Nothobranchius furzeri: one gene and its partner. Each later gene encodes a partner of the first gene's protein in a complex. Links are inferred from orthologs where the notes say so. Each region holds a gene or a part of one and is shown in the gene's direction. Other genes may lie near its edges. The genes, in order: drc3 and tcte1.

Region 1 (16,061 bases):
CAGCAGCGCGGAGTAAAGCTGCTCAGATGGGGCTTGGAAACAGAAACCCACGCTGCACATTTACTGTATTTAGACGATCCTCTTATGTTCTGCTTCAGATGGAAAAAGGAGGAAGCAAAAAAAGTGCATCCCATAATAATTACAGCTGGCAGAGGGTGGTGTGCACCAGGCCAGATCCTGGAAGCTGACATGGATACCTGAGCGGATTTGTCCAGAGGAGATTAAACGCTTCTCCTTCACCTCCTGACAGGTTTTAGGAGCAAAAACTGGTAACACTGCTCCCCCTGGTGGATGAAAAGCACTACAACAGGACGTCTTTGGCTCCGTAGGTGACGTTAAAGGGCAAATGCAGCACGGATTTCTTTTTCAAGGTTGTATTTTTCATCTTAGATCATCTCACAAAAAGTGAAGGATTTTCTTATCAATATATATATATATATATATCTTATATATATCTTATCAAATATCCTTCAAAATAAAACTCAAAACACAGAAAAGTCAGATAAAGACAAATACACCTGCTAACAGTCAGTCATGTCAAACACAGCCTAAGAGCGCTGAATGTGTTTATATGAAAGCTGAAGGTGGACCTGGAGCAGCTCCAGGTCCGAGACATCCTCCTGACCGGGGACCATCTCCGTTAGCATCTCTGACATGACTTTGATATTTCCTCTCACGATGTCCAGCTCACTCCGCAGACGGGCAATCTGAAAGCACAAGCAGGATCACTCTGTTCACCAACGCCTCACTTGGATTAAAATCCACGAATGAAACGGCTCCAGTGGCATTGCAGGAAGCGCCTCTCACCTGTTCAGGTGTTGCTGTGATGGGGTTGGGGACGTTTGTGGAGGCTGGAGCAGCAGGGCCGGTTTTAGGCATCCCAGCAGCAGGAGAAACGGGAGCCAGGTACTTTAACATGGCTGGATCCACTTCCGGTGTACCCTGTGAATAAAATCATGTAGTAACACTTAACGTGCACTTAAATAAAGATCTGAAGGCGTTCCTGCTTACTCTCCGAGGCGTGTGAATGGGAGACAAAGCATCCAGGTCTGCCATGGGGAACTCGATGCCTTTTCTCTTCAGCTCCTCATAAATGTGGACCACACCGGTCAGATCAGGACTGCTCCTGAACGCATCCGCCCAGGACTGTCACAACAAACAAAGACATGCTCTGGATTCTCTCTTCACAATAACAATAATAATAAATATCTAAAAGCCACATCAGTGGAGCGAGTCACAAAAGCCAAACTTTTGGGTGAAAAATCTAAAAATCTCTTTTCTCTCACACCATTTACTCTCTTTTCTGAGAATTCAAAAAAATCTATTAGCATTTTGGTATAAAAGCTGTTTGTTTCTGAAATTTTCCTTAGAATGCGTCCAGTGGTTTGTGACAGTTAGCTAACAGAGGACCAACATTACTGTCTGACGTTTAGTGGCAGGTGGTAAAAACCGGGAGCAGAGGCCTGATTACTTGTATGAGAGACAGGACTTTGTCTTGCACGATTGCTGGTGGATTAGTCTTTGGGGAGATGATTTTAACCAGAACGCCATCAATGAAGTCTTTGCTGGCCACCTGAACGTGAAACCTGTGGCCGCAGTTCTTCACACAGGCCTCCAGCACCTACAGGAAGCCACAGCGTCGTTAATCTCTGCAGAAACATCCTAAAAAGCTTCTGTCAGCAAACTGCAAGAAGATTGGAGGCTTCTTGGCTTGCCAACAGACACTCAGCCATCTTCTCACCGTTAGCGCCAGCATGACCTCTCTGTAATTCCTGTTGCTGCACAGTCTCTTCTTCAGTGCCCGCATGGCGTCTTTTGGCCTGGAAAGAAACAGCAGAGAAGTTGGGGCTTCATTAGGAGCCCACGCGGGGAGCGAGCGCAACATCGCCGACTTTGTTGGAATAAACTCTCTTCCTGTGCCACAGGAACAGATGCCAGTCAGTCTGTCAGCGTAACTGTTTGACACAGAAAGTGAAGAGCTGTCACGCCATCTGGATCTGCCTTTTCTTCTCCGCTCCTTTCTGCGCGACTACAGAATGTTTCTCCCAAGGCGAGATCAAAGCTGTCCACGCATCAAGAGTTCGGGCTGGCTCTATGCCCGACGCTCCCCTTCTCCTCAGAGAAGACGAGGCATAAAAAAGACTTCATCAGCTCTTTTATACAGTCCAGGTTACTTATTAAGGCTAATAAAACCAGTAAAGATGGACGGTGACGGACATTTCGTGCAAAGAAAACTGAACATGAACGTGTGGAAACATTCTTTGGAGCATCTGTTTTGCTCTCGCACCATCTGTCGTCACGCCGTTTAAAAAGCTGATCACCAGAAGTGTGTGCTAAGGCAACACAATCTCCTGAATCAGGAGCTCCAGAGGTCACCAGTTGGTTCCGTTTTATTTTGTCTAAACTGAACATCTCGTCTTAAAGATGTTCTGCGTTTCCGAGGTGACGGAGAAGGTTGCGTGTCGCGTGTGAAGACGGAGGAGGGAGGAATGTGAAACTAGAGAAAGCGATAGAAAACCTTTTCACACCTTTATTTATTATTAAGGGTGACATTTACTGGATCTGAAGCCACCTTTATCCAAACGTTCGATGTGTTAACTGACACCTTTGTTCTCAAACTTACTTCAGGATTGAATTAAATCCTTTTGGCCTCTGAGTAGAAATAGCAGCTATGAAGAAGTGACGATCGGGTTTAGCAGAGCCCTGCAGGCTGGACGTTGCTTTGTGTAGGAGGCTGATCCAAGACTTAAACGTATTCATTCATTCATTTGGAATTTCGGGTGGAGAACAAAAGCGTTTGTGTGAGATGGACAGTAGTTAGTGTATTATCTGGTGTCAGTCTGACACGAGCCAGTCTCATGACAAGCTGTAACGAGAACGGCCCTCTGAAGTTGAATATCCGCAGTGATCCGACACGAAGGAGATTGAAAATATTCCAAACATGAATTATTTCCTGCTCACCCTTCGTCCGTTTCATTGATGATGTCACAGATCTCCATGTTGAGGCTCCAGTCCTCACTCTGCAGACCGCCATCGGTGGCTCGCTCTGGAGGAAAACACACAACAACAAAAAAACCAAGCAGAGCCATAAATATATTGTTTTATGATCATAAAGTGATACAGTGTACACCATCAACAAACAAAATGTTGGTTTTAAATCAAATAATTACAGTATCTTCCCAGTTGGATGTGCCCGGAAAACCTCACCAGGGAGGTGTCCAGGAGGCATCCTAATCAGATGCCCGAGTGACCTTAACTGGCTCCTCTCGACGTGGAGGAGCAGCAGATCTACTACGAGCCCCTCCTGGGTGACCGAGCTTCTCACCCCCCCACACGAGACCCGCTGCCCCCACACCCAGAGCCCCCAGGCCCCCACCCAGACCTACTCAGGGGAGATGCAGCCGCCAGGCAGCAACCCATGGCCACCGCCGAGACCCTCCAAGGGGCCCCACTCACAGCCGCCAGCAGTCCACCCCCAAGGCAACCCAAGCACTTCCAGAGGGGGGCAGCAGCCCCCCAGCCCCAGTGAACCCACCTCCAGGGAACGTCTGGATACTCCAAACTCAGACCCTCCGCCCCATCACCCACATCAACCCGCAGGACAATATCAATGACCCCCTATCATCGCCATATAATGGAACCGATCAAAGGAGCCCAGTGAGATTGGTTTGAAGCGGAAGCAGAAGCTATCTCAAGTGTAATATGATCTAACAAAAGATTTCTATACTGGTTAATGCAAAGAGTATCTCTATTTTTCCAATTCATGAGGATAGTTTTCTTAGCGATGCATATGGCAGTCAGAACCACGCGCACCACATTATAACCATTTGTTACAAATCGGTAAATGCATTTCATCCTCACCGGCTCCCATAGAAGGAAACATGGCGTCTAATATGGCATCGTCCAGAGCATTTCTTGTACTTCCTAAACAAGTGATGTTTTATAGCGGATAAAATAAATAAATGTCATAAATACAGAAAGAAAGAACTCTATAGTGTTCTCCTTTTTTCTTAATGCATTTCGTATCGTTAATGCATTCGTATTCATGTATCGGATTGGGACTCAGTATTGGCAGATTCTGAAAATTAAAAGACTCAAAATCAGATCGAGAGCAAAAAAAAACATGATCGGAACATCCATAGTCTCTGGGCTTCAACCTCGTGCTTTGAACTTTAGTAAGTTGACAGAATAAAGCAGGAATGTGAGGACTGTGTAAAAAGACGTATAAACTCGATGTGATGTGGCTGTGTACTCAGCCATAACCTGTAATAATGGTCAGAAACAGAAGCCACACAACACTAGTCTAAGTTTCACATTCCACACCATTGTTTAAGGCTAATTTTAGCTACAGACAGGAAATAACAAAGAATCTTACACCTTCATAAATGTAAACAAAGGATTTATTTTAAAAAAAGTTTTACTTTCTAATCATCTGAAGACAAGCCAAGTACAAGAGAGGGATGTTGTTTTATATTTAAATGAAATTACTGCCATAATATTCTCTTAAACTCCATTGATTTTGAGTCTCGAGTGTAGATCTAGAAGAATTAAACCCTCTCCTTCAGTCACATCTCAAGTAAGCTCCTCAAGTGGATTGTTGTGTCACAGCAGGACAGTGACGAAAGGAGAGAGGAAGACAGAATCAAACAAACTGTAAAATGTGCAAGAATGGCCCCAAGTAATTAAAGCTGTGCAGACAAGTTAAAAGCAATAATTCATTATGGTGTGGCGTCACCTCCCTTCTAGATCCTGGTACACTGACACAACGGTGGTGATCACGTGGCTTTAATAGTGCCAAGCTGCACCAAGCACTTGCCAACAAAAGCTGCAAAGTCCCTCTCTGAGCCATCTCTCTTCATTATGGTCTTTCAAGCCTCATCCTTCCATTATTTAACTTGTCAGCACCACCGGTCGGCACCTGTGTTTTCTATAGTATTTAGTGACTTCCCTTCATCTACTTGTTTCAGTAAGTTAAACTCTTGTTAGTCATATTATGAAGCGTCTCCTTTCTTTAAGCCAGGTGAAATGATGACTTGTCCTCTCCGTTGAAGAGTACAAATTACTATCAGGGCAACAGAAATCTGATTAAATAAAGCCTCAGCCTGGAGAGGATGAACTGCAGAGATCTAGAGACAACTCTAGGAAATGCTGAAGACGAGCAATAACACTGTTACTGAAAGAAAAGTGAAAATAAAGTCAATTCAAAGCCTTTCTGATTATGGTTCATGTAAAAAAAATAGGTCGTTTCCATCATTTGCATAAATGATCGATCAGACACTGGTAACAACTGACCTAATCTAAGGTTGTGCTAACTGATGAAGTCACAACAAATGAATGTGTTAGACTCACACATGCTTTGTTTCATATCTGCTGGACAAGAACGTGAAGGTTTCTAGCTCAGGACAACAAGGCTGACCAAGGAATCTGGCCATCTATCGTTCAGGGACTGACAGCAACATTAGCGTAATCTCAGAGCCACACTTTTTATTTAAAAACACACACCCTGGAAAGTTTTAAGACAAACAAACGCATAGAGCTTTTGTGAGTGACTGTTAGCGGCGGACGAAAGTTATCTAGAGGTGCTAGCTAACACATTAGCTGGGAGCTCATTCCACGCAGATGACGTTTGCTAGAAAAGATGCCAGCCAGCTCGCTTTTTCCGCTCATACGAAGAGTACGTTTAAAAATATGCTCTAAAGAGAAAGCGCCACATAATTTGGCAAAACATTGACGAATGGCGTACCTATGCATTGGCCAACAGGAGTGCTGTAAGGATTTCCAAGTAAAAAGTCCATTTTGACAACAAACGATCCGCTTGGGAATGACAGGGGCTGAGGCCCAGAGGCCGCGGCGGTACCTGTAGGCCCCGCCTACACAAAGACCCTATTGGACGAAAAACGCAAAGCTTCAATTCAATTGGTTAAAATTATTGTCAGTCATAATTGGTATCCTAAAGCTCTGGTCAACAAAGTTTTCCAAGCTATATTAGAACAAAACGCGTTTTTCTCTACGAAATCTCATTTTGCTCCTTCTTTTTTTTAAATAATCCTTTCACCGGTTTAAAGTTAAACAATTTGCCAAAGCGTTAAAATTATGAAAATCAATTATTTTCGTAAATAAAACGACAAGAGAATCGTAATATTTTAGCGAGTACTGGTCTTTTAAAACATGTTAACTGAAATTAAATGTACATAAAGTCATTGTTGATAACTAAGTTTAGTTTTAAGTTGTGTTAATGTCGCAATCAAACCTACATAATAGTGGAACAGGTTGATGTTTTATTTTAACACTTTGTCTTAGACGTACCTGAACGCATCTGAAACGCTACTTGTTGCTAAGTAACAAGTAACAAGGCGTACTGTCCGTGTAATCCGTTGGTCTAAACGTTTATTTACCCACTATACCTATAAAAAAGAGCGGTGACTACGTTTTTTAGTTGTCAGTGGTGAGTATTATTGTTAAAATATTCGATTCTCACACAAGCTGGGGAAGCGCGGAGGGGAAAATGAAGGATCAGTACCTCGTTATTACGTATTAACAAGAAACTTTCTTGTAATAACGTGTTTAATATCTCGTAAGACGTTTCCGTATACGCTACTGTTAGAGCCAGTCCTTTACACATCGTCCAATATTTATGATAATTTTAACTGAACAAATTTAACTTAACACAATAACTTAGGGTGTAAATTAAAGCCCAGTGTGTGTTTATTTCCAAACAGGATAAACGTGATGAATTCACAGCCCACTCTGATGAACACGCGAATGCTGATGGATGCAACAAGGGATGAAGCCCTAAACATCAAGAAACTTTGTGGAGGCAAACAAACTGTTGACATGAGTGATATCAGTCAGTTACACTTGAACCTGAAAAGTGAGAACAGATCATTTGAATCGACTAATCGATCAATGCGAGGTGTTTGTGTCTGGTTATGTGTGAGCTGATTTGTTTACAGACATCCTGAAGATTGACATTCTACACGACTTCACATCTCTGGTCAAACTTGACCTGTTTCACAACCTGATAGAGAAGATCGAGGGCCTGGACAGCCTCTATAATCTCACCTGGCTCAGTGAGGAATCTTGTCATGAATGTGTGTACACTGGTAAGAATCTGATCAGTGGAATGCTCACGTTTAGATTCTTTCTTTTAGATCTGTCCTACAATAAAATCACAAAAATTGAAGGCCTGGATGGTTTGAAAAAGCTTGAAGTGCTGAATTTATCCAACAACAATATCTCTCGCTTGGAGAACATGGATGCACTACAGAACCTGAGTCACTTCCTCGTTGCAAACAACCTCATCAAAGACCTGGACAATGTAAGATTTCCCTTCCTGAGTGAGGACTAAAATAGATTATTTTGTAAAAGTTGTAGTTTGGAGTAAAATATTGCACTACCACAACTTATGCATTTTAAAGGTACTCTATCTTACGAGGATGAAGAAGTTGTACGAACTCTACATGGTTGGAAATCCTGTCAGTGATGGAGAAGAATACACTTTGTTCTCTGTAGCCTTTCTGCCAAAGCTAAGATACCTTGACGACACTTTGATTAACATAGAGATTGTAAGTACAAATGATTGTAGCACATCTTTTTGTTAACTCCTTATCCTTCCTTACATGTTTTTGATCCCCTTGAGGAAACGTTTTCTCTTCTTTTGGCCCCTTCTTATATTATTAAGGAACAGTAGGATTCAGCTTGTATTGAGTCCGAAGGAACATCATTTTAGTTAAAAGTGTGGAACACTGAAAAAACATTTTTTTAATTATTATTTCTGATTATAATCAGTCACTGTATGTTTTTCATGCAGGCTGAACATGAAAATAGTCTCCTGCATTAGAAAATAGATGGAGAAAATCTAGGATTTGTAAAGGCTAATAGATCGACGTCACACTGACTTGACTCACTACAGGGAAGAGTGTTGTAGTTTTAGCATCCAGGAAGCCAACAATCCGACTAGTAGAAGCTAACCATTAGCATTAGCAACACGGCCATACAGGAAAAACTCCTCCAGGCTTGCGTGGAGATAATACATCCACATTGCAAGTGGTAGAGTTGAGTTGTTATTATCCAATCCAAGGCGAGAAAACCAAATATCAGGAAATAAGACTCCAAAACCTGGCATGTTGTGCCACTTTCTGCTGCAGCAGACTTGTCGGTGCTGGTCCGTGTTTTTGGGCTCTTGGCATTCATTCCTACCAGAGACCACTACGCGTATTGATCAAACAAGTTTCCCACACCTTTAAAAGCACGCGTATATCAATATTCTTTTATTGCCGAGTTACTTATCCTCAAATGTGTTTCTACAGAGAGAAGAGGCATCCATGAAATACCAGCAGCAGCTCCATGAACTTGCAAAACGGAAAAATCAGAAGCAGCAAAGAACTGAAGCTGAGGTCAAAATAAAAAATATGTACAACATTTAATGAGGTTTTTTGCAGTTCAAGTTATTCTTGTTTTGTTTTGTTTTCATAGAATGCCTTTGTGGAGGATATTGATGGTTCGAGTTTGTTTAACAGCCTGTTTAAAGACAATCCAGAAGTATTGAGACCACACTGCCTCCCAGAAGTTGCTCCACTGCTTCAAACATATCTTTGATGCTTTATTTTTAGTCAATGTTTTTATTTAACACTCAGTAAACCACGATCAAATCGTCTATTGAGTCCTTGACTGTGCGCTTACATTAGAGGTCCAAATGAAGGAGCTGTGTTTGCACTTGTTTGAAGTGGGCTTGGCTGAGCACAGGTGCAGACAGACAGAGCTGAGGTCCTTTTACAGTGGCCAGAATGAGGTGGAGACATTCTACAAGCAGAAGACATCTCAGATACTCGCAGAGTTTGATGAACAGCGCACACAGGCAAGTAGATTCTGCTTTTAAGAAGACATCATTGAGGGAAAGCAGTGCACCACCAATGTGTTTATAGATGGTGTTGAGGGTCTGACCTCATGAGGAAATTACTATGCAGTGATTTTCTCCAAAATGACTGTGCTTAAATTGCTCTGGAAAGCAAATAATCACATCAGCGCCAAGAAACTTCATTTCCCATGATGCTTTGCACACGGAAGCATTGGGTGACGTCACCGCCTAGTACCAGAAACACGTTCTGCGCATGTGCGGGAAGCCGTGGACTTTTCCCGCGAACTAAGACCATAAATCTTCAGCAGAGACAAAGAAACCTCGTTCTTTTGCCCAGGATACCTGGCGGTGAGGACACGCTTGTCGAACGTTCCGACTTCTTTGAGCACGCGGAAGCTCTAAGAGCCAAGTTGAGCCCACGGGACCGCTGATCTGCTCGTTTCTGCTCCCCTCCAGCTGATGTTTGAGGACACAGAACCCGCGGAGGGAAACAACAACTCCATCCAGCTCTCAGAAACGCTGTAAGTTATAACTCAGCACAGAAAGAAACTTTGCTGTCTCTGTCCAGCCCGTGGAGAAACACTCGTGAACGCCAAACAACGGAGAAAGCATCAAACCGACGGATGACGCCGGAAACTGCGGAGAAAAACGGAGAACCGTCAAGTCATAACAGCGGGGGACGCCTTGCTGCTTTGGTGATCAGGAAACTCATTTTTTTTCTCTCCTTTTCTTCTCCCGTTTCCTCTATAGTCTCAAATAAGCAATAAACCGCGTCTATTGCTTAAAAAGTAGCTTCGTGTTTTCCTCTTTCGTCCCAAACACGTCCGTCGGGTCATTTTGAAGAATAAACTGCTTATTAATCATTGTTTGGTATCTTTAAATGTTCGGCCATGGCCAGGCTGATAAACTAAGGATATTAACTCGTGATTAATCTTTTGTGTTGTTGCATGATCCTTTGAAATGTTTTGAGTGATTTAAGGTTAAGTTACTACTGATTCTAAGTGCTTTGGAAGTTAAAGTGCAAGTTGCCACCCACACTTTAGCCAGACAAAGGGGTCAGCCATCTTGTATTCAAGACTCCATTTTGAATCCATACACACGCACACACACACACACACACACATACACACTACTCCTTTGTGAGAACAAAGGACCCCATTCATACATCCTCCATCACATGCAAACACATCCATCTTCAATCATATCACACGGTTATTATTCATCTATTCCACTGTTTATTCATTTGACAAATTGTTAATTAAATGTTATAAAATTCAGATTTTTGTGTCCAGTAGCTTTGTTGTGTCGAAGAGAAGTCTCTGCTCCAAGGATTCTACGAACTTCAAGAAAGACTGATAAGAGTTTTGGATTCAATTTTTCCCCGGAAAAAGGGGAATGGTGCCCCGTATATCTAAGAATATCTTAATTAATTAATAAATCAGTAAATATTTACATATTTACAGAATTTATTGAAGAATCCAAAAGTAAGTTAACGCTTGCGAATTGTTCGCTCCTAATAACCCCAACATTTTAATTGGTGCCCCGTGTGAGGCTTGGATACACAGAGATTTCTATCCGGCACAAACAAACAAATAAATCCAAAGAGCTTGAATTAAAAATAATCCGTTGTTCAGCCTTGAACCAGCAACAGAGTGGTGCTGATTTCGCTGAGCAGGAAGCTGCATCGAACTCTCACCAGTAACTCAGTGCTTCTTTAAAGGTGCAACGTGTAAATTAATTCTGGTTGACCTTTTAGGTTAAAAATTCAGTTTTTCCTTAAAGGTGCAACGTGTAATTAATTCTGGCTAACCTTTTAGGTTAAAATTCAGTTTTTCCTTAAAGGTGCAACGTGTAATTAATTCTGGCTAACCTTTTAGGTTAAAATTCAGTTCCTCATTAAAGGTGCAGCATGTAAGTAATTCTGACTAACCCTTTTAGGCTAAAATTAACTGCTAATTTAGCGACTTTAACTCACAGTGGCTATTGTAACTAACTGAAACCTTCACTCAAAGACTGATAACACCTTGTTTGCTAATATTCTGAAGGAATAACTAGCATATTTAACACTGCAAGTGTTGTAAGACGTTGCTACGGCAACGCACCAGCTTTTGCTAAAATACTGAAAGGAATAGTATTTTAAGCATCAGTCACGGCAGTCCGTGCAATTTTAAAACGCTAAAACCTGTGCGCACAAAGGTTAATTTAGTGTTTTTCTGCTACAAAACTAGCAGTTGCTGCCAAAAGGTGCAGCTTTGAGCTATCTGCAGAAGCTCTACTAGGCTATTTTTGGTTCGGTTGTTAAAAATGGAGGGACAGAGTAGTGAACTGACCAACTCCCAGCAACCAGGTGGCGCTGCGGCCCACGACTATGAACCTGGCCTACTTTCTGGACAAATATTGTCCAAACTGGTCGCGGTTGCTCGAGAACCCGACTACCCTTCTAGGGATTTCACTGAAGAACAGCGTAGCGACGAGCTAGAAGCTGTAATTGATCAAATAGAAAACCCGGATGGTACTAAACCAATCCAGGTTCACTTGGCTAAGTTAGCCCTGATCCTCTATCAGAGAGGACTCCAACGTGGTCAGAAGATCATGAACCTCCAGAGTATGCTAGCTGAAAAACAGCGAAATGGAAGGCTGATCGAGGAAGACGACACCCGCACCGATTCTGGGGAAGATGGGGAGGAGACCCCGCCCCCCTCTGCTGATGACAACAGACAGTGGGAAGGGGGGAAACACCATGACTCTCTGGACGGACGCACGCCGCAGGGGAGAGATGAAGCTTATCTGTCCCAACCTTCGGCCCCGTTCCCTACACACACTATAGGGCATTCAGGACCACCTAGGGGCCGAGGGCAATTCGCCCTCGAACCCCAGGTTGGACCACCACCCTCATCTTCACGGCCTTCTCAATCAGTGAGAAGTCGACCAGCTGAGCGGCACCTCTATTTAGACCGCTCCCCCAGTCCACGAAGGGTGCAAGGTGCCGATTGGGGTTATGCACCCCAAGCTGCACCTCAACCATCCACCCATCCTAGCTACTCCGGTATTCGGCATGCCGATAACCAGCTGCATGACCAAGCATCATACGCCAGTCCGTACCCGGACAGAGCGTATTACGCAGAAGCCCCAGTTGAAAGACGCAGGCTGCACTACGCAGACGTGCCCCGGGAGGAGGACCTCCCAAGACACCCACGTGACGTGCCAGCAGCCCGCCACAACATGCCGAACCCCGATTTGGGCCCCAGGAGTCAACATTGGGAGCCCAGAGCACACCAGCGATATCCAGCGCCTTCTGAGACAGACCGTGGGTCAGAGTCAGAGGATGACGCGCCGTACCGTGAGTCAGGGCTCCGTGTACGTCAAATTGAATCGATAGCTAAAGACATAGAACGCTTTGATCCTAACACCAATGAATCCAACGTCGACGATTATCTCAGGGAGATAGAACGTTGTCTGCTTGATCTTCCAGCACCCTCTTCAAGGGAAAAGCTCAAGCTAATTTGGAAAACCACATCTAGAACGGTGCACGGTTTCATGGAAACTCTACCATCTGACATTCGAGATCGGTACTCCTCGCTCTGCCGAGCGTTGAGAGATGAATACGCCACGTATGCAGACTCTGCGTCAGCTACAATGGGGGCCTTCTCCATCAAACACGGGAGGAACGAACCCCCCAGAGAGTATTATCGCCGACTCAAAAGTGCTTATTTCCAAGGTCGAAACGGCCCTGGGCTCGAGGAAGACCCTGCCTTCAGATCCCTGTTCATTCACAACCTGCACGAGTGTGTTCGATCCGAAGTCTCAATGTATTGTCGGATGAAAAAACTGACAACTCAGGAGATTAGGAGATACGCTCAACAGGCTTGGGAAGCCGGCGGAAAGCCCCAAAAGCCTGACGCACATCACCGCGTCATGCACCTTGCTCCCGACGCCGAGCCGCGTTTGGAGCTCGAAGGCACAGAAGCTCCACCCACTAAGCCAAAATCTGCTAAACCTAGACCTGTTAAACCGCGAGAGCAGTCCCAATCTCCTCAACAGGGAAAGGGGGGTGCTGATTGGCCGCCTAGGTCTGGACAATCAGACAGGAAGTGGCCCAACCAAAACCAACGGCAGGTAGGTTGGAACAGTGGAAGGTTTAAGGAGCGCCGCCCACAGGTAGGTCCCGAACACAAGTCCGCAGGTGAGTACTTGACCAAAGCCGACCTCCAGGAGATGTTTCAGCAGTTCCTAGCTAAACAGAAGGAACAGCTGAGATCTGCAGGAGAGACCCCTGCACCAAAGTCTTCTTCTAAGAAGCCAGACCCAGAGCCAACGTCCGCATGACTAGGCGTGGCTCAACCTCCCAGCGTGGCCAGGACCTACCTGATCAGCTGGGGGAACACTACTGGTAGATCACAGGAGTCTCCTGAAATCTACCCCCCAGAGAAACCTGATACTAAATTTCTGAAGTTCCTTGGTGACTTAACAAACCATGATCATGCTCGCCGTTTGTACTGTAGCACCAACGTAGGTGGGTGCATACAGGTTGATGCTCTGCTGGATACCGGCTCAGAAATCACCCTGATGTGCTCCACATTGTTCCATCGCGTGTCTGACACCATGCGGTCGCTCGGGAAACCAGTCCAGGTAGAACCCTGTGACCTGAAAATCACCAGCTACACCCAGACCCGGGAGTGTATCACTCACCGGGCGTGGCTGGATATCACCTTCCAAGACATGACTCTGGTTCACCCGTTTTATGTCTGCCAGCTAGACACTGAACCACTTCTCATTGGTCAGGACCTGCTTGAACGTCTAGCTCCCCTCATCGACTGCCAGAAGGGTCAACTGTGGGCCCAGGTGGACACACCTAAGCCCTGGAACCCAGATAGCAGCCGACCATCCTCCATTCTTGAGGTCAGCATAAGTGAGCCGCAAAACCCTTGTTCCAAGGTCATGCCCCTCCCTACGGCTCCCACAGACGATGTCCGCCTGCAAAGGCATGAAACCGCTCCTGGAACTCCGTTCCGCACACATTCATCTTTTCTCTGCTCGCTGAAGAACGTCAGCCTGCAGCCATATGCACCACACATAGTTGGTGGTCTTACCATCAACTGCACCCACATCTCAGATGCTCGCCTTGCTCTTTGGTCTGAAAAGTCAGCCATCAGCCAGCAGACGTTTGAACACCTGCGTCAGAAGGACCCCCTTCTGGTCAGTGTGACACGTAGCCATCGGCTCTTGTCACCTACTTGGCCGCAGAGGCTCCTGAAAGCGCCAGAGGTCTGCTCTCTGACTATCCAACTTGGAGCAAGACAGCTCACACATACATTCAGCATCATACCACAGCTTGATCCACCTGCACTCATTGGAGCAGATCTGCTGGTTCGACTCGGTGCCCAGCTGGACACTTGCAATCAAGTCCTTTGGGCCCGAGCCACACCATCCTCTGAGCCTCGCTCAGAAGGCCCTGAACACTTGCTGTCCGGTCAGGCCATTCCACAGGCCTGCCGTGCAGTGGTTGAAGCCAGCACGGTTCTGCCCCCATTGGTCAAAGGGGTGCCTGTTCGTCTGACTCTGATGAAGCATCAGAAGCTGCCAGGCACACAGGCCTTCTTCCAGCCATCACCGCACTTCTTGGAGCTCAACTTAGCCGTCTGTGGCACGCCACTCTTGGAGCTGAACAATCGTTCTGCCTACTTGTTGGTCGAAAATCCGACCCGGAGTCCTATCCACATGCCGGCAGGAAAGCCCTTGGGCATGCTGATAGATAGCTCATTCCATGACTTCGAACTGTCAGTCCCCGTGATCGGACAACTTCCGTTGTTCTTGAACGACAGACAGGTTGGTGTAGACACATTCAGTACTTTCCCTTCACAAATGATTACCATCAAGCGGCATGAAGCCCTTCCTGAGGAACCCATTTGCAGTGCAACCTTAGATACTGACGGTGGTCAGTGTCTAACGGTTTTTGCAATAAATACTCAACCCTCTGAGTCACCGGCTGAAAGCCCCGAACACCAGAGACCCTCCTCCTCTGAACCTTATGACGGCTTCGAGGCCGAAGTCAGCCAGCAGCTTGACAAAGCGGATGCGCTGGAGTCAGAGGAGCAGAGAGCAGAGCTTAGAAGCCTGTTCTATGAGTTTCAGTCCATCTTATCCAGGGACTCCCTGGACTGTGGACTCACAAACCTGCATACGGTTCGCATTCCAACGAACCCGAATGCCCCTCCTACTTTTGTACGTCAGTACAAGATTCCCCTCGCTGCTTATGAGTCGATCCAGGAGATCCTCGATCAGCTGAAGGAGAAAAACATCATCAGAGAGTGTAACTCCACTTACAACTCTCCCATCTGGCCGGTTCTGAAACCGACTGGGAAATGGCGTCTCACCATAGACTATCGTGCACTGAACAAACAAGTACCTCTCTCCAGGTGGCCTATGATCCATTTAGATCAGGAGCTAGCCAGAGTCAGAGATGCTCGTTTCTTCTCTACGGTTGACGTAGCCAACGGCTTCTGGACCATGAAGGTTGAGCCGGCGGACCAGTATAAACTGGCTTTCTCCTTTGGAAATCGCCAATATACTTGGAACCGCTGCCCCTTTGGCTACTCTAACTCACCTGCCGAGTTCAACATCTTCCTCCACAAAGCCATGTCAGATGCTGCTTCCAGAGGGAACCTCATATATGTCGATGACATCTTGATGAGGAGTCGAACCTTCGAGGAGCACCTGGCCGAACTCCGTCACGTGCTGCAACAGCTCGCTGACGCCGGAGCTAAATTGGCGATTCTCAAGGGACAGTGGTGTCGAACCAAAGTGGAGTATGTTGGACTGCTGGTTGGCCCTAATGGAGTCGAGCCCCAAGCGGGACGCATTAGAGCCATTCAGGACATCAAAGCCCCAGCTAATCTGACCGAACTCAGGAGCTTCCTCGGAGTCTGCAACTACTCCAGGCAGTTCATTGAGGAGTACGCTGAAATAGCGAGGCCCCTCACTGAGCTGCTTCAGAACGACACACCTTTCGTGTGGTACAGACCCCAAGAACTCTCCTTCCAGTTCCTAAAACAGAAGTTGGCGTCCGCACCCTGTCTGGCTTACCCAGACAAGGATAAAGAGTTCTACATAGAGGCTACTTTCTCCTCTCACTGCCTGAGCGCTGCTTTGAAGCAGAAACACGATCAGGACATGAGAGTTGTGGCATACGCCAGCAAGCCTCTGA
Region 2 (16,161 bases), on another chromosome or scaffold:
TATATATATATATATATATATATATATATATATATATATATATATCTTATTTCTGATTATAATCCGTCACTCTCGAGTTTTTCATGCAGGGTGCTTCTCAATGTCAAGGCGCCTTGCTAGGCCAGCAACAAGTCTGTTGTTGGTTTAGCTTCCAGGAAACAGCAGAGAACATGTTAGCTAGTAGAAGCTAACCATTAGCATTAGCTACATCACCACATGGCAGAACTCCTTCGGGCTTCAGAATCAGAAGGGTTTTATTGCCGTATGTGCGAGAAATCAAAACATTAGGAAATTGCTGCGGTACTTGGTGCAAAAAGAACAATAAAAATAAGAGATAAGTAAATATAGGAGGTAAGAATATAATCTTGATAAAATAATAATATAAACTGGCAATAATTAGAGAAACGGCTACTATATACAAGACAGTGTAGGTACTGATCAGAGCGGATCAGTTCAGGTACAAACAACACAGGGTCATGTGACTGAAACCAAGCGACTGGAGTGGGCAGCCCTAGGATTGTCGTTCTTGAGACCAACTGCAGAAGGGAAGAAACTGTTCTTGTGTCGAGAGGTTCTGGTCCTCCTGCCAGATGGGAGCGAGTCGGGTCAGCTGTTACCGACCTGCATGCCTCAACATCCTGGAGGTGTTCAGGTCCTGTATGGAGGAGAGTTTGCAGCCAATGACCTTCTCAGCAGAACGCACAACACGCTGCAGCTCCTTCTTGTCCCTGGTGGTAGCTCCAGCATACCACACGGTGATTGAAGAGGTGAGGATGGACTCGATGACTGCGGTGTAGAACTGCCTCATCAACTGTACTGGTAGGTTGAATTTCTTCAGCTGCCTCAGGAAGTACATCCTCTGTTGTTATGGGCTTTAGTTGTGACAGAGGTGATGGTGGGCTCCCATTTGAGGTCTTGGGTTAAAGGCCCGTGTTATTTGTGAAGATAAAGTATCAACGTTGCAAAGCAAATGGAGTCAGTGGTAGATTTACATTGATTGTATCCAATCAGAGGTGAGATGCCCAAATATCAGAATCAGATGGGTTTTATTGCCATATGTGCAAAAAGTCACAATAGGAAACTGCTACGGTACTTGGTGCAAAAAGAAAGATATATAAAATAGGATTTAAAGTAAAATGTCAGAAAGTATGACTCCAAAACCTGCAGTCCGCAGCTCTGCTGTGATGTGGCTCACTTCTAGTTCCTGGAAATGGTGCACCGGTGTTTATTGTCACCTCCCACTCCCCCTACAACTACAAGTCATTCATTGTCAATGTCGTTGTATGTATGTCTGATCTCAGAATTGTGTGTACTGAAACTCTCAATTTCCCTCTGGGATTAATAAAGTATCTTTGAATTGAATTGAATTGAATTGTATTCCCACTCTATAATATTTTTGCTGTTGTTTTCTTGTTGCAGGTGAGTCGACTGGTGAGCGCAACGCCATCCGATCAGGTCAGCAGAGACACTTTAGGGTTTTTCCACACTGAGATTCATTCTCTCATTCAGGCAATAATAGTGATTAAAGAGTAATGAAACTCATGACAGTCTAGTTAACATCCTCTGTGATGCTGAGCAGAATAAAATATTTCAAACACAAGATGGCAGCAGAGCAAGGAGAAACACCAAAGGTGTAGCGAGAAAAATACCCCCCCCCCCCCCCCAAAAAAAAAAGCTGTAAAGGTTAAATAATTTTCTAAGAGACGCTCACCTTGTGTTTTCCAGCAGCTGCCATCGCCGAGGTGATGGTGATCCACGACGACGACAGCAGCAGCAGCAGCAGCGACGGCAGCATGGTGTCCACATACAGCAGCTTCAGCTCCGTGGTCTCCGTGGATACCGACAGCAGTCTCCATTCAGAATCTGATGACAGCTCTTTGGAGTTTAGCGATTAACAGTTTTTTTTTTTTTTTTTCATTCTTTCTCCTTGTTGGTGGAAATGTGAAAGAACTTTTGAGCTTTCCTGGAATGTTTAGAATAAAGAGCTGATGTTTTTTTTTTTTTGTAAAATAGTTAATGAGTTTTTTTTTTCAGCAAAAGGAATAAAGTTTCTTTCTTGCATGTTTTTCATCTAACCGCTGATGAGTCCATTTTATAAATGAAAAAATTTAGATGGATCTGCTTTTTTTACTGGATTAATACAGAAAATCTTGCACAAATATTTTTAAGACTCAATAAATTCTCTTATTGACTGATATTTAAAGTCATATATGTAAACCTGTTACTAACAGCTGTTTTGGAATTTTTCATTTAATCTTTAATATTTAATCAATTTCCCTCTGGGATTAATAAAGTATTTTTGAATTGAATTAAAAAGTAAGTTAGGGAACAATTATGTTCTATTAAGTTAGCATAAATGAAACAGGTTTGTGTTTCCAGAGGATAAAGACTTATCCAGTATTAATGTTCAACCTTAAACTTGACTTTCTAGACATCTGCTGAGTCACCTGGGTGTGTCTCAAACTCAAGCTGTGATTTCTGGAAGGAAACACTCCACAGGTCACCTGAGCTCTGGCTGTTCCTGCCTCTTCAAAACACACAAGTGTATGGCAATTGTGTAATCATGCAAAAAAAGTGATGAGAAGTAATTTTTCTCTTTTTTAGTGTGTTGATGAAGGCATTCAAGCTTTAAGGTGTCAAAACAAAAGTTGCATTTAAAATGCAGATTAACATTTGCTGCATTTACGCTTAAAATGTTTTCCCCACAAATAGCAATCATAAAGAAACTCCCCATTTGCAGTAAACCCTTTTATCCTTTAAAGAGCAAGTCACCCCAAATAAACAATTTTTTTGCTGATAAACTAAATAAACAAGTGTCTAATCGTGCTGCAGACACGTGTAGTCAATAATTTGGCACTTCAGCGCATCTTAGTTAAAATGTAAATCTGCCACCGCTATTGGCTAAGAGGTATGCTTAGATGTAAACTGGTACATTATGATGTCACAGTGCTGTCGTGAGCCTGTGTGTGTGTGTGTATTTGTTGGCGGCTCCGCCTTCTCGGTCTGCCAGGCAACAGCATTTATTGCATTTTTCAAACAGGAAGTGGGAGTGGAGTGAGACTCTGGTAGGGGTTGACTTGCTCTTTAATGATTAAATGCTGTCTCTGTTGCCTAGCAACCAACGCAACAGTTTTTCTAGGCTCTGAAAGCAAATGGAAGTATGATGGCACAGGCTGTAGTGTGGGCACACATGGGGTCCTCATGCTGTGATGTGGACAGACGGTGTTTATTCTGTGTGGTTACTCCTTCCAAAAATATCTGTGTGTGTGTGTGTGTGTGTGTGTGTGTGTGTGTGTGTGTGTGTGTGTGTATTGTGTGTGTGTGTGTGTGTGTGTGTGTGTGTGTGTGTGTGTGTGTGTGTGTGTGATGGCATCATGAATAATGGCTGCATGTATCCAGCACTCCAATATGGAGTCTGTTGTTTATGTGAGGTAATTAATATGTGCTGTTTAAGAAGCATAAACTACTTTCTCAAACATTCAGATTATTTTAATTATTTATGACTGAAACCAGTTTTTTCTCACAAGACAACTTATTTATTCTGATTTATGTCACGCTAGTATTAATCTTTCATGTGGAAGGTTTTACTTACACATTAGTAATTTTCAACATTCCATTCAAAAATACTTTATTAATCCCAGAGGGAAATTGATTGCTGTAGTAGCTCATAATAATAATAATAATCAAGTCATCAAAGAGTTATAGTATGGCTGTTGGCAGGAAGGATCTCCAGTAGCGGTCAGTGTTGCAGCAAAATTGAAGAAGCCTCTGACTGAAGACACTCTTCCATTGTCGGACAGTCTTGTGAAGAGAATGCTCAGGGTTGTCCCTAATTTTCTTGATTCTCTGGAGAATCCTTCTTTGCATTATCTCCTCCAGTGGTTCCACAGTCGTCCCCAGAACAGAACCAACCTTTTTTATTAGGCTGTTGAGCCTTTTCAGGTCCCTGCTTCTGATGCTGCTACCCCAACAGACGATGGCTGAAGAGATTACACTCTCAACAGACTTGTAGAAGATCTGCAGCATCTTGCTACAGACGTTGAAGGACCTAAGTGTCCTCAAGAAGTGCAGTCTGCTGTGTCCCTTCTTGTAAACGGCTTCGCTGTTCTTACTCCAGTCCAGTCTGTCGTCCAGGTGAACTCCAAGGTATTTGTATTCCTCAACCACCTCCACTTCTTCTCGCGTGATGGAAACAGTGTTTGACTTCACCCTGTTTCTTCTGGTCTAAAATCATCTCCTTTTTGTTCACGTTCAAGGTCAGATGATTGTTTCCACACCATGCCACAAAGCGCTCCACCAGCTCTCTGTACTCAGTTTCCTGTCCATCTCTGATACACCCGACAACTGCAGAGTCATCTGAGTATTTCTGTAGATGACAGGTCTCTGATTTGTACTGGAAGTCTGAGGTGTACAGGGTGAAAAGGAATGGTGAGAGTACAGTCCCCTGTGGTGCTCCAATGTTACTGATCGCCTGATTTGATGAGCAGTTCTTCAGCCTCACAAACTCTGGTCTGTCAGGTAGTCTTTAATCCAGGCGATAGTTGAGGCCCCCACCTGTGTCTTCTGGAAAACTTAAATGTAGTTAACAGAGCTACTCCAACATGCAGCCACCCAGAGCAGCACGAGATTTGGAATCAGAATCAGAAATTTAAAATTTGTATTTCGTTAACTTTGGCATAAATCAGTACTGACTGACTACATCCCTAACCTCACCTATGGTCACAAGCTTGTACAGTGACCAAAAGAACGAGTTTGCGGATACAAGCGGCCAAAATTTGTTTTCTCTGCAGGGTAGCTGGGCTCTCCTTATAGATAGAGTGAGATGCTCAGTCATCCAGGAGGGGCCTGGAGTAGATCTGCTGCTCCTCCACATCAAGAGGAGCCAGTGGAGGTGGCTCCTTGGTGAGGTTTTCCAGGTACGTCCAACCAGGAGGAGAACTAAAGGAAGACCCAGGAAACACTGGAGGGACTATGCAAGGATTATCCCAGAGGAGCTGGCCCAATTGGCTGGAGAGAGGGAAATCTGGCCCCTGCTTAGGCTGCTGCCCCATGACCCGACGCCAGATAAGCGGACGATGATGAATGGATGGAAGACAACTTTGGACATATTTCAGCTGATTGCTGTTAATGTTTTGGGAAATTTCATTATATCTTAATATATTAACACTTGGTTTTACTGATGTAAAATAAATAAATAAATAAAAATGAACAATTACAAAATATTGCTACTGGATCAGCTTTGGAATGGTTGGTCTGTTCTTTATTCAACATTTTACTACGTTATTTCTAACTTGTTTTATCATGTAGCCTTAAAGGTGACTGACACACACACACATGTTCATGAAACCGTACAGCTCCCATATGGTGAAACTCTCAAAGCTGTGATTCACTCCTACAGTGACTTCACCCAGAGTGCGCAAAAGCTCATGGTTTATTCCACAGATACTCTGGTTTAACCTTCTGTGATGGCTGACGTCATGGTGGTGCATTAAAGCGCGTGCGTGTCAGACAGAATTACACAAAATTGCAGTGATGGACTGCCTCAAGGCTTCAGTTGCTGCTTTTCATCTTCCCTGCAGAAAAACACAGATAAATTTCCGATTGTTAACAAATTAACTTTGATTATAGATTTGATTTATTGTTATGATGAAAAAAACGTATGTAAGTCATGCAATCAATTTATTATTTTAGAATATTCCAGCACATTAATTAAATATGTTAAATATATTATTCTTTAAAAAGTGGCTTTAATAGTCACATAATTGTTTTGAATGTAACTGTGTTGCATTTAGGCAAAGCTCGGAAATTCTATGCACCCCTTCTAGATGGGGTGGTGTCTGTGTTTTTTTCCCTTAAAAATGTTTATCATATTTATAAAAATCAATAAAAAGTTAATAAAAATAAAATATAAAAACACAATTATATAATGTTCTTAATGTCACTTCAGTTTGCAACATATCTGAGCCACCTTACGACAAAATAAAAACACCTCACGATACCGCAAAATAAGGTTTGGGCGTTTTGTTGCCATAGAAACGGGTGAACGTTATCCTCGTTGGTTTTTTCCTTTTTCATTTTGAAACCGCAAAACGCTTTCATGTGAGTATTAAACTCCTAAATGTTGCTTTGTTTATTTTTATTTCCACTTTAAATGTGTTTTAGACAGTAGTGAGCTGACCCCATTAAGCTAACAGTTGTTTTAAAAAGTAAAAAAAAAAATACTTAGACCGTGGTTTTTGACTCGTAGCAAACGTTAGCTAGCAAATGATTCTACTTCCAGTTGTGTCGCTTATCAGACTGACTTTTTGGTGAACAGGTCAGGAAATCTTGTCACCGAACAGACGATTAAGTTAGCTAGTTGAGCTACAGGTAATTCACTGTGTTTTTCTTCACCAGAACCTGAAGCAGCCACAGAAAGATGAGCAGGAGGATCATTGCAGAAGACACAGACTGGCTTGTGCAGGTCACAGACCCGCTCAGGTTGTCCCACAAATGTCTGCAATGCATAGTGGAAAATTTCGAAGGTATTTTGTTTGTAATAATAATAATAATAATTAGCACACACAAGATGATTTTCTATGACGTTTATGGCTTAAACTTGTTTTCTTTTTATTGTTATTATTCTTTCAGTTGCTGCAGACGAACAGATTTTTACAAAAGTCACACCTTTCCAAAAACGTTACATCCTGGAGCGACTGTCCGTGAGTCTTCCTCTTCATGTCACTTCCAAACTGGTCCCTGATGGTGTTTACTGGGAAAAATGCTGCAAGCACAGGTGGTACGTCTGTGACGTGACTGATTATGACAACAGCTGGAAACAGATGTACATCGAGAGACACTTGGGTAGTGTGATTGAACTTTTCATCCCAGGTGTGACAGAACCAAAGACAGTTCTAGAAATAATCCCGTTTTGTGATAACTTTGTGAAGAAGCTGAGCGTCTCACAGCTGCTGCCACCTTTAAAGGAGCCTCAGGTGGAGGTGAATGTGGAAGAGCTGTCGCTTGATGAGCCTTGCATGGACCACTTTGACTTTGGCCTTGTGCTTGACAAGCTGACAAACTTGGAGGAGCTTCACGTGGTTTACAGAATCAAACAATGTGGGCTGAACTTTGAACGGAAGATGCAGGAGATGACTGATGGAGACTGTATATCCCTCGCCAATGCAGTCAAATCATCAAAAACCCTGAAGGTAAATATTGATCCTTCTCCCTACGATGCAGTTCTTTTTTAGGTCCTCATCCTTGCATGGGAAGGAGGATGGGTATGCACTTCTCTGTTATTTTTTAAAAACTGTCTGTGAGTAATGATTGCAGCATTTATGGAGCAGGAAAATCAACTTCTTGTGCTTTCTGGTTGAATTTTAAAAGAAAACACATTTGAGGGGATATGAGGGTCTCAAAAAGCCTTGTTTATGTTTATAATTCATTATTCTATATGTGCATTTATATACTGAAAAACTCGTATTAATACTTTCTAGTTGCAAAACTCAGGAAATGCCATACTTAGATGAATAAGCTACATATTTTTCAACAAGCTAATACTTCTCCAGGTGCTGAGGCTCCCTGTAAGCTGTATCAATGATGAAAAGTGCTGCATGCTGATGTACCACCTTATGGACTTCCCCATCCTGAGGGAACTTGACTTATCTCACAACATGATTGGAAAGATCGGAGGCTGTGCCATCGCCAAGCTGCTCATCAGGAGTAAACTGGAGGTCCTCAAAATGTACAACAACAGAATCGGCGATGTGGGATCCAGCGCTATAGCTGAGGCTTTGTCCAAGAACCCTCCTCTTTCGTCCCTCGACCTGCGTATGAACGAAGTGGGAGACAAAGGAGGTGAGGCCATTTTCAAAGCTCTGCAGAAAAACAACGTTCTGCTTCGCCTGCACATGGGAAGCAATGGGTTAACCTCGGCCACAGTTCCCGTTCTGTCTGACATGCTGAAGAAGAATGAAACTCTGAGCAGTCTCGATTTATCTGGCAACAAGCTCGATGAGGTAAGTTGTTCAATATTTCATTGAATTTCCACCTAAACAATCGTTTCACAACTCCCAGGGTTTTTATTTAAACTTGATTTGAATTCCGTTCAAAAAGGGATAATTCAGCTATTTGGAAGGGAGTTACCAATGTACATTGTTGCTGTCTTAAAACGCCTCCAATCTACAAAAGTTCATTAGTTTTATTCAACATGCATTTTTTTTTACATGGAATTCTATTATTTACAAGAGTAAAAATCACCAGCAATGTCCAGTGCATCCAGAGATCACTTTTAGGTATTTTTAGACATGAAGAAAGTGTGTGAAAATGAGCAGAGTTAAGTGTTTTCCCTGGAGAGACAAATCCGAGTCTGAATCTTTTTCAAGCTCTCTTCTTTTACTGGAAAACGCACGGAGGATCAAAAGTCAGCCACACAGCAGAAACATAATATGCAGCACCATCAGTATCTCTGACCCTGGTCTGGTCCTCGCAAAAATAGAAACGGCTTTTCAGGCAAAACACCAATGACGACGGCCACGAGCAGTTTCAGGATCATCCGACTGGAGGACATACCAGATTTATTCCCTTTGTGTTTTTCAGGGTGGAATTTTAGGTTTGAAGACAACGATGTTCAGAAACAAGATACAGAAAGAACTAGAATTGGCGGGTCAGAGAAAGGAATGAGAGACACGCCGTCCTCCTCCACCGTCATCAACTCCGTCTCAAACCTGAAGGTCAAGGAAATATTCAAAGTGTTCAGAACTCTTAACTTTGAAATTAATTTAATTTTATGAGTAGATTTTTGCAGAATGTTGGGAGAAAATGTATGTTTCTTCTTTCAATAATTTCAAAGTTCCAAGTTTTTCACCGTTAATGTGTGTTACAGTATGTTTCTTCTTTCAATAATTTCAAAGTTCCAAGTTTTTCACCGTTAATGTGTGTTACATCAGCAAACTTTACCACAGGTTTGGCAAGATAAAACATTTTTTGCAAGCTTTTGAATAAAAAATGTTTTTTAATCAACACAGTTTTCCTCTTTATAGGTTTATAGGATAATACATATTTCATATGTGATGTTTCATTAGAGAATCCATTCGTAAATTTAGAAAGATGGAGCATTTCTTTGAATGATCATTTCTTTTTATTGAATAGAATTACTTTAAAGGGATACTATGCAACTTTTTAATATTTTTAAATCATTTCCTTAAGCCAGTATGTCGAAAAATGACCCTTTACTGGGTTAATGAAATGTTACTAAGACCACACCGCCCCTTCTGTGGCCAGAACACCAGACTTGCAACTTCAGAGTTGCCAGTCCGCTTCCTGCTGGTGGAGAAAGCCGTGGAGTGGAGCTGGAGTCTGCCTCCAGCACGTTTCCTGAATGTTTTTAGATCGTGAACACAGCTGATGTGTTTGATTTAGTGATGAACTGCTCCTGTAGACACTAATGAAGGCTGAGGAGACATTTCAGCTGTTAGATGAGGGCGTTAAAAAGACAAACACACAGGGAGGACATAAGTTTAATTTTCTGTTTAACCACAGTGAATTAATGTTGGACACTAGGAGGTGCTAAAAACAAACAAAACTGCCTAGTATCCCTTTAATCCAGGTTCATTCATTCATTCAGATATTTGATACTCAGTCCTCCCTAACATAAAGGCAGCATTGTGGTAGTACTGGAGTATATACAGACTTTATTAGTCGTACTCATGTCGTATTTTTCTAGTTTCTGGTATGTTTCCTTGCTGTAACTGAAGAAAATCCTGAATCAGAAAATCAGAAAAAGCTTTATTGCCAGCGCTCCAGCGAACCAGAGCATAGGAACTTGACTCCGCAGCACAGCCTGACCAAGGTTACACACACACATGTAGACAGAACAGATACAGGCAGACCACGAGAGCAGCCATGACGGCGGTCATTTCAATAGATGAAAAGGGGATTACATGAGGATAAATTGGGGGAGGAGAAAAAAAGGCACACCAGAGTTACTCCCGGCAGGGCGTAGCTTTACTATGCAAAAAAACGCCTCAAACATATAAGCACGAACATCAACAATTCACAACATGAGACACCGAGAGGAAGGCGGTTGGGGGGGGGGGGGGGGGGGGGGGGGGGCGGGATCCTGTTTCTCCAGCGAGAGCAGCCCTATGGCGCTCAGCAACTGTAGCCACAGGTGGGAGGGAGATCTTGGGAGGAGCGCAGAGCACATTGACACCTGCAGGTTGATGACCTCGCCAGGCTGAAGTCCACCAATCATCGGGGGGGTAGGTCGGGTTTTCACAGCATCTGTCTGCATTCCTTCGTGGGGGGTTGTTGTTGGCATTCACAAGGCTGCCATGGCATCAGATTCGGATAACAAGACATCTCCACACTGTCCAGTGACCCTCTCCGAGATGACATCCATTTTGCGCACTAATACCGGTATCGCAGCTAGAACATTGACCAGCTTACGATTCACCTCGAGTAACGTCCCAGTCTGTGAGGTCACCACATGGACGGTGCTTTCCGTGGGTGCGGGTCGCCCTCCAATCGCTCCCGTCTTCCCAAATTTCCAGAAAACCAGATATCCTCCCACTCCAATCAGAAGAAATCCAGTGATCATCAGGCCAAATATCCACACATCTTCGACATCCTCAATCGACAACTGAGACAGGCATACGATCTTCCACTCCCTCCAGGAATCGAGCATATATCGTGCTGCGTGTGTCCCTTGCGGGCAAGTGGGAGCCCCCTCCTCCATTCTCATCGTAGAAAAAATCTTGTCAATCGCGTTGAATGACCAATTAATTAAATCCATTCTAAAAAATAGGGTTTTTCAGAAGAAATGCAGAGAAGCGCTCTGTGGGCAGACAGGACAAAGAGCCTTGGGAAAAAAAAGATAAGGGAGCAAAAGCAGAAGCGTCTGTACTCTGCGAGAGCCGGAAGGTTAATATCCAAGATTTGATCTTAAGCAAGCTGAAAAACCATCCTGAATTTAAACAACCTAAACTTGTCATGTTCCCGAGACGAGGTGAGTGACACCATCTCCACTCTAACTGTGATTGAGCTGATTTCCCACAGGTGAGGAGCGGAGGGGGGTGGCAGCTGCAGGAGATCCCAGTCAGGAACTCGGGTTTAAAAGGAGGATGGAGACACCTCACTACGCCGGACGATTGCACCAGTTTAGGTAGCCCCAGCCCTTTATTCTCATACTTGTTTGCTCGCTTTGTCTCGTTTTGGATACTTGGACTTTGACCTCGGACTGTTTTTGGATTATCCCTTACGCCTGGTGTTTGTTTCTCTTCATTCAGGATCCTCACTCAACCTGCTTCACTCTCGCTGTTTTTGTACTCTGGATTCATACACCACGTCCCATCCTCCTCCGTTGTTCCTGTTGGCCCCTCTCTGCGACCTCACCCATCCCGGATCGTTCACCCTCTGCCCAGCGCTCACCTCAGCTCCCCCGCCTCCCTCATTCATCCCGAGTGCTACTTGGACTCGAGCTGCACCGCTCACACCCACAGGACTTCCCTGTGCTATTTTTGTTCCCGTTTATTAATAAAGAACTTTTCTTTTACTGAATCTGCCCAACGAGTTCTGATTCTGCATGTCTTGGGTTAGGCACTTGCCTCAAGTCATGACAAAACTATTCTGACTCCTCCCAGTTATTAATAAGCTAGGTAGGTTTGAAGTAAACGATCATTAGAAGAAGTGTATTTCTGATCTGGAACATTCAGGTGTGACACAAAAGCAAAAACAGAGTCTGAAAATGGGCAAAATACTTTTTCTCAGCAGTGCACATTTTATTTTGATTAAAAAAAGTTTTCTAAAACTGCATGCACTAAAAGTATTTTTGTGTGCATTATATTTTAACTCAATGGAATAATCCAATAACGAACGTACAAAAGATGTTCAAAGAAATCCAATGATGGTCTTTAAAGAGCAAGTCACCCTCTACCAGATTCTTACTCAATTCCCACTTCCTGTTTGAAAAATGCTACAAATGCTGTTGCCTAGCAGACCAAGAGGGCAGAGCTGCTAACAAATACACACACACACACACACACACACACAGGCTCGCAATGACATTGTGACATCATAAGGTACCATTTGACATTCTAGGGTACCTCTTAGCCAATAGCGATGGCAGATTTAAATTCAAATGCAGTGCAGAGTTTTTACCTGACGACGACACAACACTGACAGTTTTAGGCAGAAAATTAAAATTTTAACTAAAATGCACTAAAGTGCAAAACTATTGGCTACATGTGTCTGCAGCACGATTAGACGCGTATTTATACAGTTTATCAGGAAAAAAAGTTCATTTGGGGGTGACTTGCTCTTTAAATGTGTTCCCACTGTGTTTAAAAGGACATTTAGCTTAAAATATCAAAATAAGTTAGTGAGTAACATTATGAAAGTGACTGTGCTGCTAACTGCAACGTAGCAAACTCTACTTATCGTACAGTATGTACATCAGCTCTCCCTGCTGCCATAGCCTCAAAAGTCTGTGCGTGCGTGTGTGTGTGACACATTCAGCCAAGCACATATTATCATCAGCAGGTATCCCACATGCTCAGATCTCTTATTTACAGTACAAATTCCTTCATTTCTGCACAAAGATTTATACAAATGTAAAAAGCCCCAAAGCCATTTTATATAGTCCACCTGACAGACACGATAAAGGGTTTAGTGCTTTGCATGAAAAGAAGCTTTTCTTCTAACAGTCATCTTCAGAGGAAAAGTCAGAGTTATGAGTGTGTCTGTTCCATTTCTGCTCCTCCACTAATAGTGATGTAAACATTATACCAGTAAACAGTTTCTCTATGTTTAAATATCACAGTGAGGCCACCTTTAAGGCCTTTTGGCTGATGATGATGATGATGATAATGATGATGATGATGATGATGATGATGATAAATTAGTTAATGGAGTGATTTTCAAAAATCCAGCATTTTTTCAGCCTACACAAGTTAAGATGAATTTAATGTTTGTTTGTTTTTAAAGTGTGGAACACAGAAAAACATTTTGAAAATCTTATTTCTGATTCTAATAGGTCACTGTGAGGTTTTTATGCAGGCGGAACATGAAAATAGTCTCCTACACCCATCTCCTGCATTAGCTTCTGATAGAAAATAGATGATGAAACTCTAGGATTAGAAAATCCTAACAGATCCACGTCACTTTGTTACTCAGCATTCATGAACTCACGACGGGGAAGGCTGTTGTTGGTTTAGCTTCCAGGAAACAGCAGAGAACGTCTCCACTAGTAGAAGGTAACCATTAGCATTAGCAACTCCACCTCACGCCAGAATTGGTGGCTTGATAATAAAACATCAACGTTGCTGTTATTCAGTCAGAGGTGAGATGTCCAAATATCAGGGAATAAGACTCCAAAACCGGCCGTCTGAAGCTCAGCTGTGATGTGGCTCACTCCTAGTTCCTAGAAATGGTGCACTGGTGTTTTTTGCCCCCAAGTACAACTTACAAGGCATTAATTCCTACTAGAAATCACTGCAAATGTCCTGATTAAACGAGTGTTCCACACCTTTAAAAAAATAAATGATCAGTTGTGTGATTAGGATGGGGTTGTCTGTGTTTAATGACACATGCAAATCTCCACTGACTGACTAATCTGTGCTGTAACACAGGGATATTTGATTGATCTCAGTGGGTTGTTTATATTTTAGTCAGACCGCTGCTTTTTCAGTAGGTTGCTTATGAGCTCAGCTTTAAAAAGGACATTGAGAGCAGCTTGCATCAGGCATCAACACTCATTTTTAGTCTCTATAAATAATTTCACAAACTATTTTAGCGCTTGGAGAACAAGTTTGTAGACAGGAGGTATAAGTTGTAGGAAACATATCTGACATAACACATTCTGGCATGTTGTTTAATATTTCCTTTCAGAAAACAAGTCTCCAAAAAATCTTTTTTTCCTTTTTTTTTTTTTTTTTTGTTTCCCAAGCCAAAATATTTCAGTCACTATACAACAAAAACATTTTACAGGCATGGTAAAAACACCCCCCTCCCCCTTGTTTTTTGTGTTTGTACTTTTCAGAGCAGTTCTTTATGGGTAAACATCATCTCCCGGTACATTCAGCAACAGTCTGACCTTCAGGTGAACTTTCTGGGATCTCCATTCCTTGAAATACTGACAACTGTTATTACTCAACTTGAAAATAATCCTTAATAGACTCAAAATTGTTTCAAATAGAGGTCAACTGATGGTGTTTCTTCTTTTGCCCGATACCAATGCCGATATGTAGAAGTCATGGTCAGCCGATGGCTGATATGTGCTGCCCTTTTTGGTCGTTTCCACCTTACTCTCATGCTAAAATGTCACTAAAAACATCAGTTAATGCACACAATTTCTGAAGCTGAATCAGTTTTTGAAAACTGAATTTAACCAACTGTTAAATCTTAAATTTAAGCACTGCTCAGTGTTAAAATCAGACATCTAAGTAATGTTAATCAAACAATCAGTGAACTGACCTAGTATTAATTATTCAAAACTGGTTTATAAAAGGAAATTTTAGTTGAAAATCATTTTAGAGCATTTGTTTTGCAGATGTTATTCAGGAATGTAAATATACATATAAATTCAGCAACAGCTCTGGGCTGCCCAAGGATTTGCCTGTCTTTAAATAGGCTTTACTAAGGAGGTATATCGACCGATGCTGATATATTGGGTTACCCCTAGTTTGAAATTACCGTTAGCCCATCCCTAGCGCAAACACACACCTTCTCCTTTGAACAAATAGAGGACGTTTTGTGTTTTCCACACAAAGCTTTTGCTTGTTGGCTTTATTTTTGATGGAATTGAGTGTTTTTCTACTTTTAAAATTACATTTGAAGCCTTTAAAGAGACAATGTGTAGTTTTCACCATTAATCTCAGGAAATATCCATCGAAATGTTGTTGAAAATGAAAAAAATGGTGTGCATTTGTTAAAAAATATTGGCAACTTTGTACCATATAACCATAAAAACCAGGTCTGATGTACATAAAATGCAGATCTAGCGTCTTTGAGGGACACACCATGTTTCCTTCTGGCCGGCTCGGGGTACTGTGCCTGTCGAGGACGTCACTAGTCTAGATGATTTGCTGAACGTACGACTTACAGAAGTTAAATTACCATATTCAAAATCATTTAGGCAGTAAGAAACACAAATTTATTACCAAAACTGCTAAACTATTTCCAAAACAAATGTGAAAGAACAAAATCAAAAAAGAAATGCAGGATATTTTGACCGAGCGGTATTGCCGTAGTTCGACATAGTTGGCAGGCGCAGGAACCCGAGCAGATCCAGTAACTACAGCACCAGAAAACTACCATCTACATTGCATTCTCTCGATGGGATCACCTGAAGGACCATCAAAGTCTGAGGAGTCACGCCGAGGTCGCATGCTTTCTGCTCCACAGGTAACAGCATATGCTGTAATGTTTTTTTAAAACTAACAACAGTTACGGCGATATGGTGTAAAACTTCCGTGAAATGTTTGTACTGCCCCCTAGAGCCAGGAAACGACACACTGCCACTTTAAGAACATACTGAGAATCAGATCATTTTCATTTCTTAACCCTCCCACTGTCTTCATGGGTGACCCCTCCAGGAAAGTTGACCATTGAGCAGGACTGATGGTTTATCCCTTGAGGTCCATTTGGCAGGGGTGAGGAGTGAGCACCACCTCACCCCTGCCACATGGACCTCAACTTTCCTCATGGGGTCACACCCATTAGGACAGTGGGAGAGTTAACACATGAAACCATATAAATGAATGTTCTTTACCATTTTTCATACATTTAAAAAAGTGTGTCTTTATAAAAAAGCCTTTGAATTTGGTATATTCTTGCAAAGGATATCACTCAGGTGTTTGAATTTTTGGAGGAATTTTAGGCTTTGCAATTCTTTTTAATGGACTAAGTTGTATTTATAACAAAAGTGGAAATGATATACTGGAAGCAGACACATTGCTTTAAATACCATCCTGAGTTTAGAGTTGCATAGATGCAAACGCTGAAATTTGAGGTTTTTTTTCTCACTAAATCCAATGTCTGCTGTTATTTTTGACGTACTTTAATATTGCTAAGACAGCTCTGAAGATAACAGCTCACCTGAAACAGTAAATTCACCACAACAGTCCTTAAATTCCTGACTTGTAAATAAAACAATGAGCTCCACACCTGAACTTGTTCAGC

What was found.
Region 2: drc3 (region 1) and tcte1 share a complex: the UniProt entries of both Homo sapiens proteins name them as parts of the nexin-dynein regulatory complex. The link is inferred for Nothobranchius furzeri from reciprocal best matches to the Homo sapiens genes DRC3 and DRC5.

The regions. Positions count from the first base shown.
Region 1 is NC_091752.1:55,519,791-55,535,851, forward strand, and holds the start of drc3 (dynein regulatory complex subunit 3), read left to right. Parts: upstream 1-3,902; 5' UTR 3,903-4,966; intron 4,967-5,743; coding exon of another isoform or gene 5,744-5,795; exon of another isoform or gene 5,796-5,901; intron 5,902-6,304; exon of another isoform or gene 6,305-6,445; intron 6,446-6,719; 5' UTR 6,720-6,729; coding exon 6,730-6,871; intron 6,872-6,953; coding exon 6,954-7,070; intron 7,071-7,151; coding exon 7,152-7,318; intron 7,319-7,418; coding exon 7,419-7,565; intron 7,566-8,309; coding exon 8,310-8,396; intron 8,397-8,475; coding exon 8,476-8,586; intron 8,587-8,680; coding exon 8,681-8,857; intron 8,858-16,061. Other genes in the region: TOM1-like protein 2, read right to left, coding at 591-707, 808-942, 1,012-1,146, 1,472-1,621, 1,742-1,820, 2,962-3,046, 5,744-5,795. UniProt on the Homo sapiens protein: Component of the nexin-dynein regulatory complex (N-DRC) a key regulator of ciliary/flagellar motility which maintains the alignment and integrity of the distal axoneme and regulates microtubule sliding in motile axonemes.
Region 2 is NC_091742.1:8,362,774-8,378,934, forward strand, and holds tcte1 (dynein regulatory complex subunit 5), read left to right. Parts: upstream 1-6,018; 5' UTR 6,019-6,099; intron 6,100-6,181; exon of another isoform or gene 6,182-6,316; intron 6,317-6,396; 5' UTR 6,397-6,418; coding exon 6,419-6,524; intron 6,525-6,630; coding exon 6,631-7,190; intron 7,191-7,550; coding exon 7,551-8,000; intron 8,001-8,580; coding exon 8,581-8,664; 3' UTR 8,665-9,003; downstream 9,004-16,161. Other genes in the region: E3 ubiquitin-protein ligase rnf8, read left to right, coding at 1,420-1,455, 1,726-1,895. UniProt on the Homo sapiens protein: Component of the nexin-dynein regulatory complex (N-DRC) a key regulator of ciliary/flagellar motility which maintains the alignment and integrity of the distal axoneme and regulates microtubule sliding in motile axonemes.